2 linked regions of the Alligator mississippiensis genome follow. The protein of the gene in region 2 purifies or fractionates together with the protein of the main gene of each other region. This does not show direct contact. Links are inferred from orthologs where the notes say so. Each region holds a gene or a part of one and is shown on either strand. Other genes may lie near its edges.

Evidence for each region.
Region 1: the proteins of PEX19 (region 2) and NAT14 purify together in Homo sapiens (co-immunoprecipitation; 3 studies listed by BioGRID and IntAct, counting the BioPlex papers as one, with this or other methods). This does not show direct contact. The link is inferred for Alligator mississippiensis from reciprocal best matches to the Homo sapiens genes PEX19 and NAT14.

Annotation. Positions count from the first base shown.
Region 1 is NC_081828.1:84,026,748-84,034,150, reverse strand, and holds NAT14 (probable N-acetyltransferase 14), read left to right. Parts: upstream 1-4,064; 5' UTR 4,065-4,133; intron 4,134-4,140; exon of another isoform or gene 4,141-4,187; intron 4,188-4,327; 5' UTR 4,328-4,346; coding exon 4,347-4,427; intron 4,428-5,765; coding exon 5,766-6,311; 3' UTR 6,312-7,040; downstream 7,041-7,403. Other genes in the region: ZNF628 (zinc finger protein 628), read left to right, coding at 1-2,618. UniProt on the Homo sapiens protein: Probable acetyltransferase. May act as a transcription factor that regulates the expression of coproporphyrinogen oxidase by binding to a promoter regulatory element.
Region 2 is NC_081838.1:21,135,009-21,142,537, forward strand, and holds the start of PEX19 (peroxisomal biogenesis factor 19), read right to left. Parts: upstream 3,354-7,529; 5' UTR 3,296-3,353; coding exon 3,250-3,295; intron 1,894-3,249; coding exon 1,787-1,893; intron 1-1,786. Other genes in the region: cilia- and flagella-associated protein 45, read right to left, coding at 6,081-6,228, 6,811-7,026, 7,296-7,529. UniProt on the Homo sapiens protein: Necessary for early peroxisomal biogenesis. Acts both as a cytosolic chaperone and as an import receptor for peroxisomal membrane proteins (PMPs).

The DNA.
Region 1 (7,403 bases), on a different chromosome or scaffold from region 2:
AGCGCCCCTATGTCTGCACAGCGTGCGGCAAAGCCTTCACCCAGTCCACCAACCTGCGGCAGCACCAGCGCATTCACACAGGTGAGCGCCCCTACAAGTGTGCTGACTGCACCAAGACCTTCACCCATTCTTCCAATCTCCTACTGCACCAACGCACCCATGCCAGCAGCCGGGCCCACAAGTGCCAGGCTTGTGGCAAGGCTTTTGTCTCGGAGACCTACCTCCAGAAGCACCTGCAGACGCATGCGGCTAAGGCACCGACCGCTTACGGTGAGGCCGAGCTGGCCTGTGCACCAACTGAGCTGTTTTTGGCTGCTGCCGCAGAGGCAGTAGAAACTGTGGAGATGCTATGGAAGTGTGGGGACTGTGAACTGACCTTCAAAAGTGAGGAACTGCTGTTGGGCCACCAGCAGAGCCACCTGGAGGCGGCCCCGCCTCTGCCAGCTGAGGAGCTGCCTGTTGCACCACTCTACACCTGCCCCACCTGTGGCAAGGCCTTCAAAAATGGGTCAGGGCTGTCACGGCACCAGCACAGCCACACTGGTGAGCGACCCTACAAGTGCTCCATCTGTGAGAAGACCTTTGTGCAGCTCTCCAACCTTCTGGCACACCAGCGCACACACCCTGCTGAGCAGCAGCTCATTCAGGCTGAGGCTGAGGTCACCTGCCCTCAGTCAGCAACTGAGCCTTCCCCAACTCCGGCCCCTGTTCTGGCCCCAGCCCCTGCTGAGGCAGCTGAGCGCCCCTACAAGTGCACAGAGTGTGGCAAGGCCTTCAAAGGCTCATCAGGGCTGCGCTACCACCTGCGAGACCACACTGGGGAGCGCCCCTACAAGTGCTTGGAGTGCCCCAAGGCCTTCAAGCGCTCTTCACTGTTGTCTATCCACCAGCGTGTGCACACTGGTTTGCGTGCCTTCAAGTGTGCTGAGTGCGGCCTCACCTTCAAGTGGTCATCGCATTACCAGTACCACCTACGCCTGCACACAGGTGAGCGCCCCTACAGCTGTACCGACTGCGGCAAGGCCTTCAAGAACACTTCCTGCCTGCGGCGCCACCGCCAGCTGCATACTGGTGAGCGCCCCTTCACCTGCCTTGTCTGTGGCAAGGCCTTCACACAGACCTCCAACTTGCGGCAGCATCAGCGTACTCACACAGGTGAGCGTCCCTACACCTGCCAGCAGTGTGGCAAGACCTTCACCCACTCCTCCAACCTGCAGCTGCACCAGCGAACTCATTCTAGTGAGCGCCCCTTCAAGTGCCCTGTCTGTGCCAAGGGTTTCGTCATGGCCTCTTACCTGCAGCGCCACCTCCGCACGCACGCTACCGAGGCAGGTACCCCTGAGGCCAAGAGTGAGATGCCAGCCCAGGGCCTTCCACTCACACCCAGCACCCAGGAGGTGCACATTGTGCCCAACCTGCAGGCCACCCTCAATCTAGAGGTGGCTAGCCCACCCAGTGCCCCTAACTCCCAGACCTTCCTGCTGGTGCAGACAGCACAGGGCTTGCAGCTGATCCCCAGCATCCAGCAGAGCCCCCAGAAGCTGATCCTCCTGCCCAGCCCGCAGATGGTGTCCCCACACCAGAAAGTGCCCATTCTTCAGAGTACCCCCAACATCACCCTGATGCCCAGCAGCCCCACAGTTCCCAGCAAGCCACCCCCCCGCCGGCAGGGCAAGGCCAAGAAGCAGGCTGCCCCCAGTAACCCCAACCCACCACAGCCTGGCCAGAACATCATTCTGGTGCCAGCCAGCGGGCAGGCACTGCCTAGCATGCAGATCCAGACTTTGCCAGGATCTCAGCGGGTGCCAGGGCTCCAGACCGGGCAGAATGTTATTGTGCTGCAGAACATGCCTGAGCAGCCCTCTGCTGAGGTAACTAATGTCCAAGTCCAGGGCTTGCCACAGCCCCCTGAGGTGACTGGCATCCCAGCCTTGTCGCAGCCTCAGGACGTGACCAGCATCCAGATCCAGGCCCTGCAGCAGAGCTCCCTGGAGGCAGAGGAGGCTCAAACTCTTCCCAGCTCCCATGAACTGTCCAGTGCCCAGCTCCCTGCAGATGCTGGGCAAGAGATGGCAGACCTGCCAGAGGGCCAGGACCTGATTGTGGTGCAGAGCGCACAGAGTGATGACTTGCTGGGGCCAGGGACTGAAGTGAGTGGCCTAGAAGGGGTGCAGGATGTGCACCTGGAGATGCTGCAGACGGCTGAGGGACTGCAGAACGTCTTGGTACTGCGTGGTGCTGATGGGGAGCAGACCCGCTTCTGTGTGCAGGAAGTGGAGAACCTACCAGAGCTGCCCCCAGAGAGCGGATCAGGGGCCCTGACGGCTCCTGGGGGGCAGAAGCTCTTCATCATCCGCAGCACTCCCAGTGAGCAGACCCTGCAGGTCCTGGAGAACGTGTCAGGTCTGCAGGCACTGCCAGGACTCCCAGGCCCCAATGTGGGACAGCTCCCCCTGCAGGCACGGGGGGTGCCCAACAGCCCAGGGAGTGGCCAGCCCTCCTCTGGCAACACCCAGATGGTACAGCTGCTGCCAAGCCCAGTGCCACCTCCCCAGGAGCTGCAGTCCATCCAAATAGTGCAGACAGTGCCCAGTGTGCAGCTGGTTCATACCTTCTGAGTCCCATGCACCTGGCCTTGCAGGTGCCTGCCTTGCCCTGCTGGCCAGTACTGTGCCAGCGCATGTTGAACTTGGGGTGAATGTCCCCTCCTCTACTGTCATGCCATGTACTACAGACACTGTCCAGCTGGCTGCAGCAGAGGGCTCTGGGTTGCCTGATGAGCGCAGGCAGCCCCTGACTGCCTTTCCAACCTTGGCTGTAGCCTTCCAAGGCATAGGGCTGGTAGGACCTGACATCCATGTCATCAGAGCTGAGTCAGTTCTAGCTGGGCGTGGGATTGTGTAGCTGGGCTCCAGTTGCAAGGCGCTGTTTGCCTGTCCCTGAGCAGAGGTGCAGTGGGAGCTGGCCTGAGTGCTTCCCTAGCCTTGTCTAGCTGGACTCCAGTTGCAAGGCGCTGTTTGCCTGTCCCTGAGCAGAGGTGCAATGGGAGCTGGCCAGAGTGTTTCTCTAGCCTCTGCTCACTTCTAGTGTTTGAGCCTCTTCCAGGGCTGGGAGGAGAGTGGGGTCCAGAGGTCCAGAGCAGGCTACCTCAGGAACCAGGACTCCTAGGTTGTGTCTTGGCTCTGCAGGGGAGGAGTGAGTGGGTAGTAGGTTTGCCCAGGATTCCTGGGTTCTTTTCCTGACTGTCTGCCTTGCTAGGCCACCTTAGCTAAGTCTCTTCTTAGCTGCAGGAGGGGCCAGTGCTGTGAGGCTGCATGTGTACACGCAAACATGCTTTTCTCTTGGGGGAGGGGCCTGGGTGGGCACAGCTCTGCCTGCTGATCTGTGGAAACCCATTGCTCTCCCAGGCAGGAGATGGCATTGTGGCACAAGGGAGCAAGTGCAATGGTCTCCCAAGCCATTAGGCACCACTTCCCTGCCACCCAGATGCTGCCCTGAGCCCCCTGGCTGGGTTGGATCCTATCTCTTCCATAGTGACACCTGGCACTGCTCCCCAAAGGACACAGCTGCTTCAGCCCAGGCGGCAAATAAAGGACTGCTTATGAAGGGTCTGTGCCTGGTTTACTCAGTTTGCCGGGAGCGAGCTGTAGTGGCCCGAAGTGGGGAGCAGGGGTGACTGGAACAGAGGGCTGCCGGGAAAGGGCTGGGCTGAACTGCCCACCGGGAGGAGGAGGGATCCCCTCGGGGAGCAGCCTCTCTACCTGCCCCGTTCGGGGCGCGGCGGGCAGCCGGCGGGGTGGCGCCCCGCACAGCCAACCCGGCCTCGGGCAGGCGCCAAGCTCCCAGGCAGGGCCGGGTCGGGGCAGGGATCCCGGCTCAGCCGCAGGGGAGGCGGGTGGAGGGCAGGGTTGGTGGTTGTGAGGCTACCGGCGTACCCCCTCCACGCTCGCTGACTGCAGCGCCCTAGCCCGGCTCCGAGCAGCTGGGCCGCAGCACACGCTCAGCGCCATAGTGCGGGTGCCCCTCCCTGGTGCTAGAACAGCGGAGTGTGGGCGGGGCCGGGAGGGAAGCGGCCGGTGGGCGGGCTGCGCAGGCGCAGTGGGAGCGGCCGAGTCGGCTGAGCGCCAGGGAGGGTGAGGCTGCTCGCGGGCCCCGGGCGGATCCATTCATCCGGCGCGGGGGAGGCGGTTGGTTGAGGCTCCGTTCCGCGGAGCTGCCGGCTGTACCATTGGGGGGGCGGGCCGCCGGGTCCCTCCCCTGTGCTTCGCGCGGGGGCGGCCTGGTTCGTCCGGGCTCCGGCGCTTACCTGCCCGTCCTTGCCCCGCAGGGCCCGCCTGGCTGCCACGATGCCCGTGCTGGACCTTGCCCAGCTCGCCGTGCGCAGAATGCGGGAGGAGGAGGCACCCATCGTCCTGGAGCTGCTGAAGGTCTCCCTGGGGGTGGGGGCGCTCTGGTAGCCGGTTGCTGTGTCTGGCCAAGCTCTGTCCCTGGCTCTGCCCATAGTACCTGCCCCCAACTCTCTCCCCCTCCCCCAGTAACCAGCCCACTTCGCCACCTGCTTGTCCCTGGTGCCAGGGCCCAGGCATGGGCAGAGACAGTGACCCCAAATGGAAGAGTCCATAGACCTGGATGGGGTGAGAGCCAGCAGGGCAGAGGTGGGGGCCAAGCTGGGGTGCAGGATCCAGGCCCTGTGGGGATGCCAGACACCTGCCTTGCACCGCAGCAGCAGGGAGCAAGGCAGGACCAGCCAGGCGCCCCAGGGTGGAAGCTCTTTGCCCTGTGGCTCATCTCTCAGTCTGGGCCAGAGCCAAACAAGCAAAGCAGCTGGACAGGCAGCTGCTCAGCCCCAGCCAGGGTTGCCTCCAGGACCCAGGATTTCTGCATGGTCTCCCCTCCACCTGCTAACTAGGCCCAGCACTGTTTAGCTTTTGAGTTTAGACAAGATTGGGTGCATTCAGTCAGGTACGGGCACCTCCAGTGGGGGCCTCAACCTGGAGCCTTGCTTGTATTGGTAAGCTGTGGAGACTGAGCCCTTACAGCAGTGACTCACTACCAGGGTGCTGGCACACTGTGTTAGGAGATGAGGTGTGGGGAGATAATTGGATATGGGCAGGCTCAGGCTCTCCCTGCCTGGCTGCTCCCCTGCCCACACTACTTAGTCTGCCAGCAAGGAGGTAAGTACTATAATACATGTATTAGTTTTTAAATGGGGCGCCTCTCAATTCACAGAAGTTATTGAGGGGCGCCTCAAGTCTGATGAGTGGCACCTTTAGGCTAAAAATGTTGAAAATCACTGCCTTACAAGTCATCTGCTCCAGCCCTCCAAGGCCCAGGAGTCCCCTACTCTAATCCCCTGGGTCCCCTTCCTGTCACCAAGCTAGCAGTAGAACCCAGGATTTCTGACTTCTACCCATCTCCCTAAAATCAAAGGCAGCCAAGCTTCTGCCTGTGTCTTGTGTCTTGTACTTGTGACAGAAATACTGGATTGAGGTCCTGCCTCCCTTGCCTTCCCAAACTGCCTCTGAACTCAGCAAGCTCTACTGCTGGGGGCATTTTCCTTTCCACCTAGGTGCCCCTTACTCCAGCCTGGGGTACACCCTTCAGGAAGACTCTGGCTCACCTACAGCTTTGGATTGAGCCACATTCTATGCTCTCTGGGCCTGGCGCAGCCCAGCTGGTGCCGTCACCTGTGCTGCCTGGACAGTGTGCCCCTCCCTGCCACACCATGGTCCCTGCCCATGCTCATGTTGCCCTCCCCTCCACAGGATGGCTTTAAAGACACAGAGAACCGGCTGATCCTGTATGTCCTGACACGACCCCTGGTGCTGCTGCTCATGGCTGTAGTGAGCAGCGCCCTCCGCTTCCTGCTCAACTCTTTTGTGGCTGCTCTGTTGGTGCCTGTGTTGCTCACCATTGTGGCCCTCAAGCTGCTCCTGTGGCGGTCCGCTGACCTCCACTGCCTGCATACCTACTACTGTGGGGGCCAGCGGGGCCTCTGGGTGGCGGTGTACGATGGCGATGATGTGTGTGGATGCGTGGCACTGGAGCCCTGGGACCAAGGCCCACCTCGCGCAGCAGAACTAAAGCGCCTGGCTGTCAGCCGCTGGTACCGGCGATCTGGAGTGGGCCGGCACCTGCTGGCCTTCCTGGAGGCACAGGCCCGAGAACAAGGCTATGAGCGTGTCGTGCTCTATACCTCAGTAGTCGCCAAGGCTGCCATGAACCTCTTTGAGAGCTGTGGCTACCAGGCAACTGGCGGGCGAAGCTGGCTGGGCTACACCGTTGTGCAGGAGTTCAGCAAGGAGCTGTAGCATCTGCCCCTACCCGGCGCCCTCCTGACGGTGGGGTAAGAGGGGCCAGCTGGGGCTTCTCCATCCTCCACTGCACCTCGGAGAACTTGTACAAGGGGATTCAGGGAGCATCTGTGAACAGTCCAAGGCCTCCACACTCAGAGGACAGGGGGCACCACCTTTGAATGTGTGTGCATACAAGGGCCTTTCTGAGTGTGCTTCCATGGGAGTTGGATGTCATCAGGTGGATCCTGCTATGAGGGCCCAGGCAATGTGTAATATGCTGGGGCTGATGCTGAGGCATGGAGCAAACACTAGGAAATGCTTGTTGGGAGACAGTAACCTCCTGCCAGCAAAGTCATGGCTCATGGCATGCCTAGAGAGAATGGAAGAAGCCTGTGAAGCATGGACTGGGAAGGACTGTTTCTTGTGATGTGGGCCTGGGGGCACCCCTCCTTCCCTAGGGGCTATCCCATCCCAGAACAGCCTTCTACCATGCATAGGCTTGGCTGGGACTAGGAAATGTGAATGAGGGGGTGGGCAAGGAAATGGTGCCCAAGAGTCTAATGCCCATCCCCATCGTAGCTGTGACTGAAGGTTGCTTTTGGAGACAAGGAGGCTGCACATAGGCTCCAGTAACTGCAGTGGCATCTGGCTTGGTTCTCAGAGCTGCTGAGCATTTCTGTCACCCCTAGCATTAGGCCTGTGTGTGTATTTGAACGTACGTGTGAATAAAGCGTGTTGTAGTGACTGCTTCACCTGTCTACATGCTGGGATGGGCCTGCCCTCAGTCAGCCTCCAGCTGGACAGGGATCTATGACTGTGAGGAGGCTGGGGCCCCCTTTACTCCTGACAGGGGTGGATCTGGCACACAGAGTGCCAGGGTGGCTGGTGCTTGACAGGAAATGTCTTTTCTGCCCCATCTTGTGTAGCGTTGGGGTCCGCACAGCTGCTCCCTAGAGCTGCACTGGGGTCAGCATCAGCTGCCGGTGTGCTTGTTTCCTGCCCATAGTACAGCAGCACCTCCACATGCCACAATGGGCATCAGGGCCTGCCCTGGCTGTTAAGGGAGAGCTGCACCTGTACTGAGTCATCCCCACCTCACTTCCTACA
Region 2 (7,529 bases):
ATTCAACCACCTGGGGATCACCTGCGAACAGGCTCTTGCAATAATTCCCAATTTAGCCTCAGACAGACACCTGGGCAAGAACAAACTAGACAGATCAACACTCCAAGTCTTCATAAAAGCCATCCCACAGGTACAGAACATTCTGGGAACAGCAAATGTCAAGTCCAGGCACGTCAGCTGGCCTGCATGGGCACACTTTCAGTCACAAGAGACCAGGCGGCAGAAAAGGCATACAGCTAGCATCTTTATCCCGATTTCACAAACAGGGAGGCTGCCTGCCTGTGGTCACAAAGAACCTGTAGCAGAGCCAAAACAGAAGCCAGGACTTCTGACGGCCAGATCTCGCTCCAGGAATCTGAGCTCAGCCCAGACCCTGCCACAGATGGATCCTAATGCATTTACCACAATGGGAAATATTTCTGGGGACACTTGTTGGCCCACCATGTTTGGAAGTCATGAACTTTACCCCAAGCACCTGCCAATTACTGAGCTTGACTGGACTGGGGCAGCTGTCATTGGACTCATCTTTCAACATGTGCCCCAGCAAATCGGAGGTGTAAATGCAAGACACAAGGGCATCCAGAGCCTGCTTCTGAGGCTGGCAATAAAACCAGTCAACTGCAATGACATGAGATTGAAGAGAAGTGGCTACTGAGCTACTGAGGTGCCTGGCTCCAGAACCAGACCATCCCACCCACCCACAGTTTCACAGTTGATAGGGTCGGAAGGGACCTGAGGAGATCATCTAGTCCGACGCCCTGCCATGGCAGGAAAGAGTGCTGGGGTCAAATGATCCCGGCCAGATGTTCCTTCAGCCTCCTTTTAAAGACCCCCAGGGTAGGAGCCAGCACCACTTCTTTTGGAAGCTGGTTCCAGGTCCTAGCCGCCCTGACAGTGAAATAGTGCTTCCTAATGTCTAGCCTGAAACTACCCTCCGCTAGCTTGTGTCCGCTGTTTCTTGTAACTCCCAGGATTGCTTGGGGGACCAGGGACTCTCCCAATGCCTGCTGGTCCTCCTTGACTAGTTTGCAGACTGCCGCCAGATCCCCTCTCAGCTTTCTCTTTTGGAGGCTGAACAGGTTCAGGTCCCTCAGTCTCTCCTCATAGGGCCTGCTCTGCTGACCCCTGATCATGCAGGTGGCCCTCCTTTGGACCCTCTCCATATTGGCCACATCCCTCCTGAAGTGCGGCGCCCAGAACTGGATGCAGTACTCCAGCTGTGGCCTGACCAGTGTCGCATAGAGGGGGAGGATCACCTCCTTGGCCCTGCTCGTGATGCATCTGTGGATGCACGACAAGGTACGGTTGGCCTTCCTGACCGCATCCCCACACTGTCAGCCCATGTTCATTTTGGCATCAATAATGACTCCAAGATCCTTTTCTATCTCAACACAGGTGAGAAGGGAGTTCCCCAGGCTGCAGGTGTGCTGCTGGTTCTTCCTCCCCAGGTGCAGCACCCTGGACTTGTCAGTGTTGAACCCCATCTTGTTCTCTTCGGCCCACCCCTGTAACCTGTCTAGATCTGCTTGCAGCCTGTTCCTTCCTACTAGTGTACCCACTTCACCCCACATCTTAGTGTCATCTGCGAACTTGAACAGGGTGCTTTCTACCCCCTTGCACAAGTCACTGATGAAGATGCTGAATAGTGCGCAACTGTCCCTGCACAACTGGGTGGGAGAAAATGCTACGTGTTCCCAGTTCAACAACTCTGCCCAAGCTTAAGACAAGGGAAATACTTCCCCGTACCCTTCCAGCCCATACAGCCATGGGTGGTCACTGCTCTTACTTTGGCAGCATCGTTAGGAGACTTCTCAGCACTGCTGGCATCTCCTGCTCCGGCAGTCGCTGGGGGTGGTGGGGCCGGCTTGGTCTTGTCAAAGTCATCAAGAGCACCTTCAGGGCAAAAGCAGAGAGCTCAGATGAGGGGATAAGACCACACAGGTCCCAGACAAGGGGGAGATAAGGGAAGTCAGACCAAGGCCACAACACCAGGGCAGTCCTGAGCAGCATGACATGGAGGAAGCCAGCCAAGACGTTTGCAGTTCACTACATGTCTTTGGATGTCACGTATAGAGCCATACTCTGCACCAGCGCCCAGCCAGTCCCTCGCACTGCTCTCCAAGCTAAGGGGATTCAGACCTGCTGCGGATGAGATGCAGCTTCAACTGGGGACAGAGGGATGTGAGCACACCGTCACCGACCTACGGGTGACATAACTGTTCCTTCAGTCGCACCAGCTGCATTTGAGCCTGAGCTGCCCAGTCGTAACTGCAGCCATCCCTGCACAACGTTCCCGAGTGAGGGGTGGTGAAAGGATTCAACTGGCTCCGAGTGAATACGACACAGCATTTGCGAGAGGATGCGACAGCCCCTGACCTCCACGGGGACTGCCCCGTGCTCTGAAATCCCACTCCTACTTTTAAATCAAGCTCTTCAGGCTCAGGCTGGCACCCCCGAAAAGGCCGCTGCAGAAGCCGGGACCCAGGCGGCTCAGCATCCCAACAGCCAAGGCGGGAGGAGCTGGCACGGCCACACGGCAGCTCCACTCCCCTCCCGAAGCACTTGGGCCCCTATTGCTTCGCTGGGGGGTGCTGGTCTCCGGGGACCTCTGGGTTCAAATGCTGCTGGCAGTCAGCGCCTTAAAGCCAGGTTCAGCTGCAGCACCTGGAAACGCCGACTGCTGCACCCACAGGAGGGGTTTGCCTTTCGGATGCTGGCGTCTGCTCTAGACCTCTGAGAGGCCCGTCGGACACCCCCTGCACACGGCTGACCAGGGCAGTGCTCCCAAGAGGCGCCATCGTGGAAACCGTGTCACACACACACACACACACACACACACACACGTGCCATTTGCACCTCTGCAAAGAGCCGTGTTTTTTAACCCGCGGCACGTGCGCGTGCCAAGAAGGGAACGTCTCTGATGTCGTGACAACGTCAGAGGCTGGCGTCTCTCCCATATGGCAACAAAACAAAGGCACAACAATTGCCTAGAGAAGACAGGGGGTGAATAGCTGCGGGGGGGGGGGGGGTGCAAAGAGGATGGGACCGCAGGGAGAACAACACAACCCTCTTCCTCGCGGGCCGGGCAGCCGAGCCGTGCCGTGCCGTGCCGTGCCGGGAGGGGGCACAAAGACCCGGCTCGGGGGAGGAGAAGGAGGCCCCTTCCCGCCCCGCTCCCGCACCCGGCGGCCCCCGCATGTGAAGAAGGAAGTTCCCGCAACCCTGAGCCCCGGCTCCGCCCGGCCTTACTGTCCAGCAGGTCGTCCAGCTCCCGGTCCGGCCCCGCCGCCGCCATCTTGCCGCTGCCTCCCCAGCTGGGCGGAGCTACCGCAGACCCCGCCCCCCGCCTCGTTCTGAGCTCGGCCGGCTTCCTGCGCCCGTGTGGGTGGGATGCGGCCCCGCGTGCGGCGCGCGTGCGCCCCTGGTGGGCGGGGGCGGCGCTGCCTGGGCTGACCCGCTCCGGGCGTCCAGCTCTGCGCAGTCCGCAGCCTCGGTTGCGCTTCTTGCGCTTTACTTCTTGCCCTGTCCGCTGGACTAGGCGCAGCGCTGTACAACGTTTCGAGTTGCAACGTTTCCCACCTACAACGTTTATAAACGGACGCCCTGTTTCAACTTCTGACCTCAGTTGCGACTTTATGGCACTTGATCCGACACGACGCCACGCCGGCGAACAAGTTCACTGCGTCGCTCAACTCATCTGTGCAAACTTCCTTGGACTCTTTCTTTAAGAAAGCAGGTGAGACTCCAGAAAAACCTGCCGCCGGGACTCCTGAGAAGACACAGCAGCCGAGAACCCTTCAAAAAGTCCAGCAAAGTCACCTCAAAGAAGTCCTTCCAAGTCCATGTGAATCCTATTAACCATGTACATGCACTACAGGCTTAAGTACCACCAGCAAATTTTTCATACACATAGGTAACAGGCTGTGTATTAATACAACATCAAAACCTTTAGTAATCATAAAACATTGTTTTACCGGTTACGGTAGCCATATAAAACAATTGTAAATTGGAAAAAAAGACGGTGTAAACCAGGGGTAGGCAACGTTTTCGGCCAGGGCACTGAAAAAAACTGCTTTGTGTATGCTGTAAGGTGCCAGAGTGCCGACACCCCAGAAAAACAAACCTGGGGTGGGGGCTGCATGGCAGGACACACTGCAGATTAATATAGTTAATAATCATAAATGTGGCTGCTTCTTCTTTTTTTTTTTTTACAGTAAATAGCAGGTTTTCTCAAAATTCTAAACCTGGTGACAATAAATAAAACCTCATGTGCTACCTTTGTTCTTGTGTCTTCTTTTTTGTTAAGCACATTGTGATGAGAGAGAAGGAAGAGAGAAGAGAGATGGGGGAGAGAGAGAGGAGAAAGAAAGAGAAGAGAGAGAGGGAGGGAAGAGAGAGATGGAGAAAAAAAAGAGAAGGGAGAGGCATGGGGAGAGCAGGTGTTGGGGGGGACAGGGGAGGCAGTGCAGTCAGGCTGGCCTGGCTGGCCCTTGGGAAGGCTGCAGCCAGATGAGCAGGGGCCAGGTGGGGAGCAGGGGCTCCCCTGGGGCTCCACCGACTCGGGCTGCAGGGGGGATGCTCAGCAGTACCGGAGGTGGGGCCCAGCCCAGGCTGTGCAGCCCCACGGGGATGGGTCACAGCCACCCTGCCCACAAGGGAACGCTGCCTGGCCGGGGCAGGACACCAGGCTCGGGGTTCTCCTGGCTTGGGCTCTGTGCATGCCAGGTGCAGCACAAGTTGGACAGAGCCCCCTGGGCCACAGCATGGACTCCGTGGGCTCCGGAAATAGCCGCTGCAGGCAGTGCTCAGAGCTGAGCCGCCTGGGAGCCTGCAGTGCAGCCGCCCCCGCGCAGCACCTGCCCTGGCCCCAGCCCCTTGAGGGCAGTTGCAGGTGGGCAGGGCCAGGGCTCAGGCAGGCTGGGGCAGCTGCAGGCAGCTGTTCCCAGGTGCTCCCGTGGCCAGGCCCTTGCAGCAGGGATGGCTCTGCCCTGCTCGCACTGTGCCCAGTGTGCAGGGAGGCCAAGCCCAGAGCTGAAAGCCCCCCTGAGCCAGGTGGCATCCCCTCGTGGAGCTGCACGGGCCCAGCCAGGCCCCACCTTCGGTGTCGCTCTGCACCCCCACCCGCCTGCCACAGTCAGCCTGCAGAGCTCAGCGTCATATCCCAAGCCCATTTTTATCTTGCCTGGGATGACATAGGCTTTGCCGGGGCATCAGGGAGACTCCCACCTGTGTGCACCCCAGGTTAGGCACAGGGGCTACCTGCCCCCCCAGATTTATATGTGGGGTGGGGGCAGCTGCTGCTGCATGCTGGGGTCTGAACATGGGGAGCCGCACACGACACCACGTGCCTTCTGTGGCCGGGCAGCCAGCGCATGGAAGGCAAGTGCAATCCTCTGTGATCGTTCAGGAAATGCTCTAGTGTCTTGTAGCCGTATGTGGTGCTCTATCCCTATGGCCAACCCCATGTCTCATTCGTGGAGCAAGAAGACCTTGGGCATAGCACTAAGTTTCTGCTGTAATGGAGCCTTGCACTCCAGGGGCACCAGTGAGCCTCCAAAATAAACCTGGGCGAGGTCCAACTCTCCTCCTTCAGTGGGACACAGTGGCAGCAGGGCCTGCTGATACCCCTCACTCCTGACCTGCAGCCCCCTGCCCCCCCAAGCCCTGCTGCCCCCGAAGAACCCCTCCGCTCCCTTCCCCCACTCTGCTGCAGACCCAGCACTGGCAAGCACGCCCACGCACACATGCACACACACACACGCACACCCTCTCTCTCTCTCAGCATGTGTGGGCACACACACACACACACACACACACACACACACACACACACATGCTTTCTCTCTCTCAGCTGCCTGCGGCTGCATGTGATGCCCTGCCTCCAATCACCTTTCCCCGCTGTCCCCAGCAACTCCTTTGCTGGGGCAGAGGTAAAGCAAAATCCTGGACATTTGCTGATATTTTAAAAAAACACCCAGATGGGGGCATCCAAAAAGTGGACATGTCCAGGAAAACCCAGACGTATGGTAAACCTTCACAAACATTTATTTACAATTTCTAAATCCAAGAATATAAACAGTCTAGGCTGGGGGCAGGCCACACATGACCCCCTGGAAGTCCCCTGGCATGGGCTGGGCAGTGCGCAGAGACCCTCGGTCCTTGGGGCCTGGCTTCATCAAGCCCACGCACTCCACACCTAGGCAGTATTTCTCGGGTGGGCTGGTGGCTCTGGAAACAGGAAAAAAACTAGTAAGAGCCCAGACCACTGCCATGGAGCAAGACATGGTACAGGGCCACCTGCCATGGCATCTCCATCTGTGCCAGGGCCCAAAGCCAGCCCCAAGGGGCTCAGCAACACATCTGGCACCTTGGCCCCCCGGGACCAGGGCTGACTTGTGACAACAGGTGACGGCTGAGCCCAGCTGGAGGGACTCTGCTCTGGCTTTGCTCCCATGGGGACAGCCAGCCCCCAGTGAGCACGGGAGCATGGAGGGCAGAAACGAGGCTCAGAGTAGGTGGCAGGAAGGGCAGCTTGGTGCAGCACCCAGTAAGGTGAACTGCCTCCCGCCCTCCCAACCAGCTCCCACCACTGGCCTGGCCAGTCCTGCTGCAGCCGTCCTGCCCTTAGCCCAGGGCCTGGGCCCCCTGCCCTGCTCCCGCACCAGCTGGCAAGTCTCAGGGGCTCAGCTTGCCCTAGGACATGGCAAAGGGAGAGACAGCATGAGTTGTGCCAGATGTGGTGGGCGACGCCCCAAGACCAGCACCCCTGCAAGCACCCACAGTCCAGCCCCTACATAGTCCCACCCTCACCGGAGCTCCTCTATCCTCTGCCTCTTGAGCTGGGCAATGTGGTCAGCATGCCACTGTCTCTCTTTCTGTAGATGCTTCTTGTCCTCAAAGGAGACAACCCGCTCACATGCCAGCTTCTCCTGATACTTCTGCATCTGGTGCTGAATGTCCTTGGCATCCACCATTCTCTGGGTCGCCCACTTCTCCTGCTGCCTCTGCTCCTTCAGTGCCTGCTCCCTGGGGGAAATGCCAGTGCTGGTGATAGGGGCCAGCCCAGGCTGGAAAGACCATGACCTTCCTGCTGGGGCTGGCCCACCCCCTCCCGCATACATGGGGTCCTATGTCTACCCGAGCCAGGTTGTCTCCACTGCAGCTTGTGCACCCCAGGCTCAGCCAGAGCTGCAGAGGGCAAGCCTGATGTGCCCTAGCTTAGTTCCCCCACAGGCACACTCTCCAGGGCCTGCAACCCCACTGTCATCCTGGGGCCAGGCCACGCCTCGCACTACCTGAGGATCTGCTGGAAAGAGCTGCGGTTCTGCTGTGCCTGTATGACCGAGGCACGCTCCAAGTGGCTCTGCTTCAGCATGGCCTCCATCTCTCTGTACAGCCACTCCGTCTCCTTGGCCTCCTGATGCTGCTTGACCCGGAGAGCATCCTGCCAGGAGGGAAGCATTGATTGCACTGCCCAGGCAGCAAGAAGCCAGGTGGAGATTCTGCTCCTGCTGCCCCAGGGAGCCAGC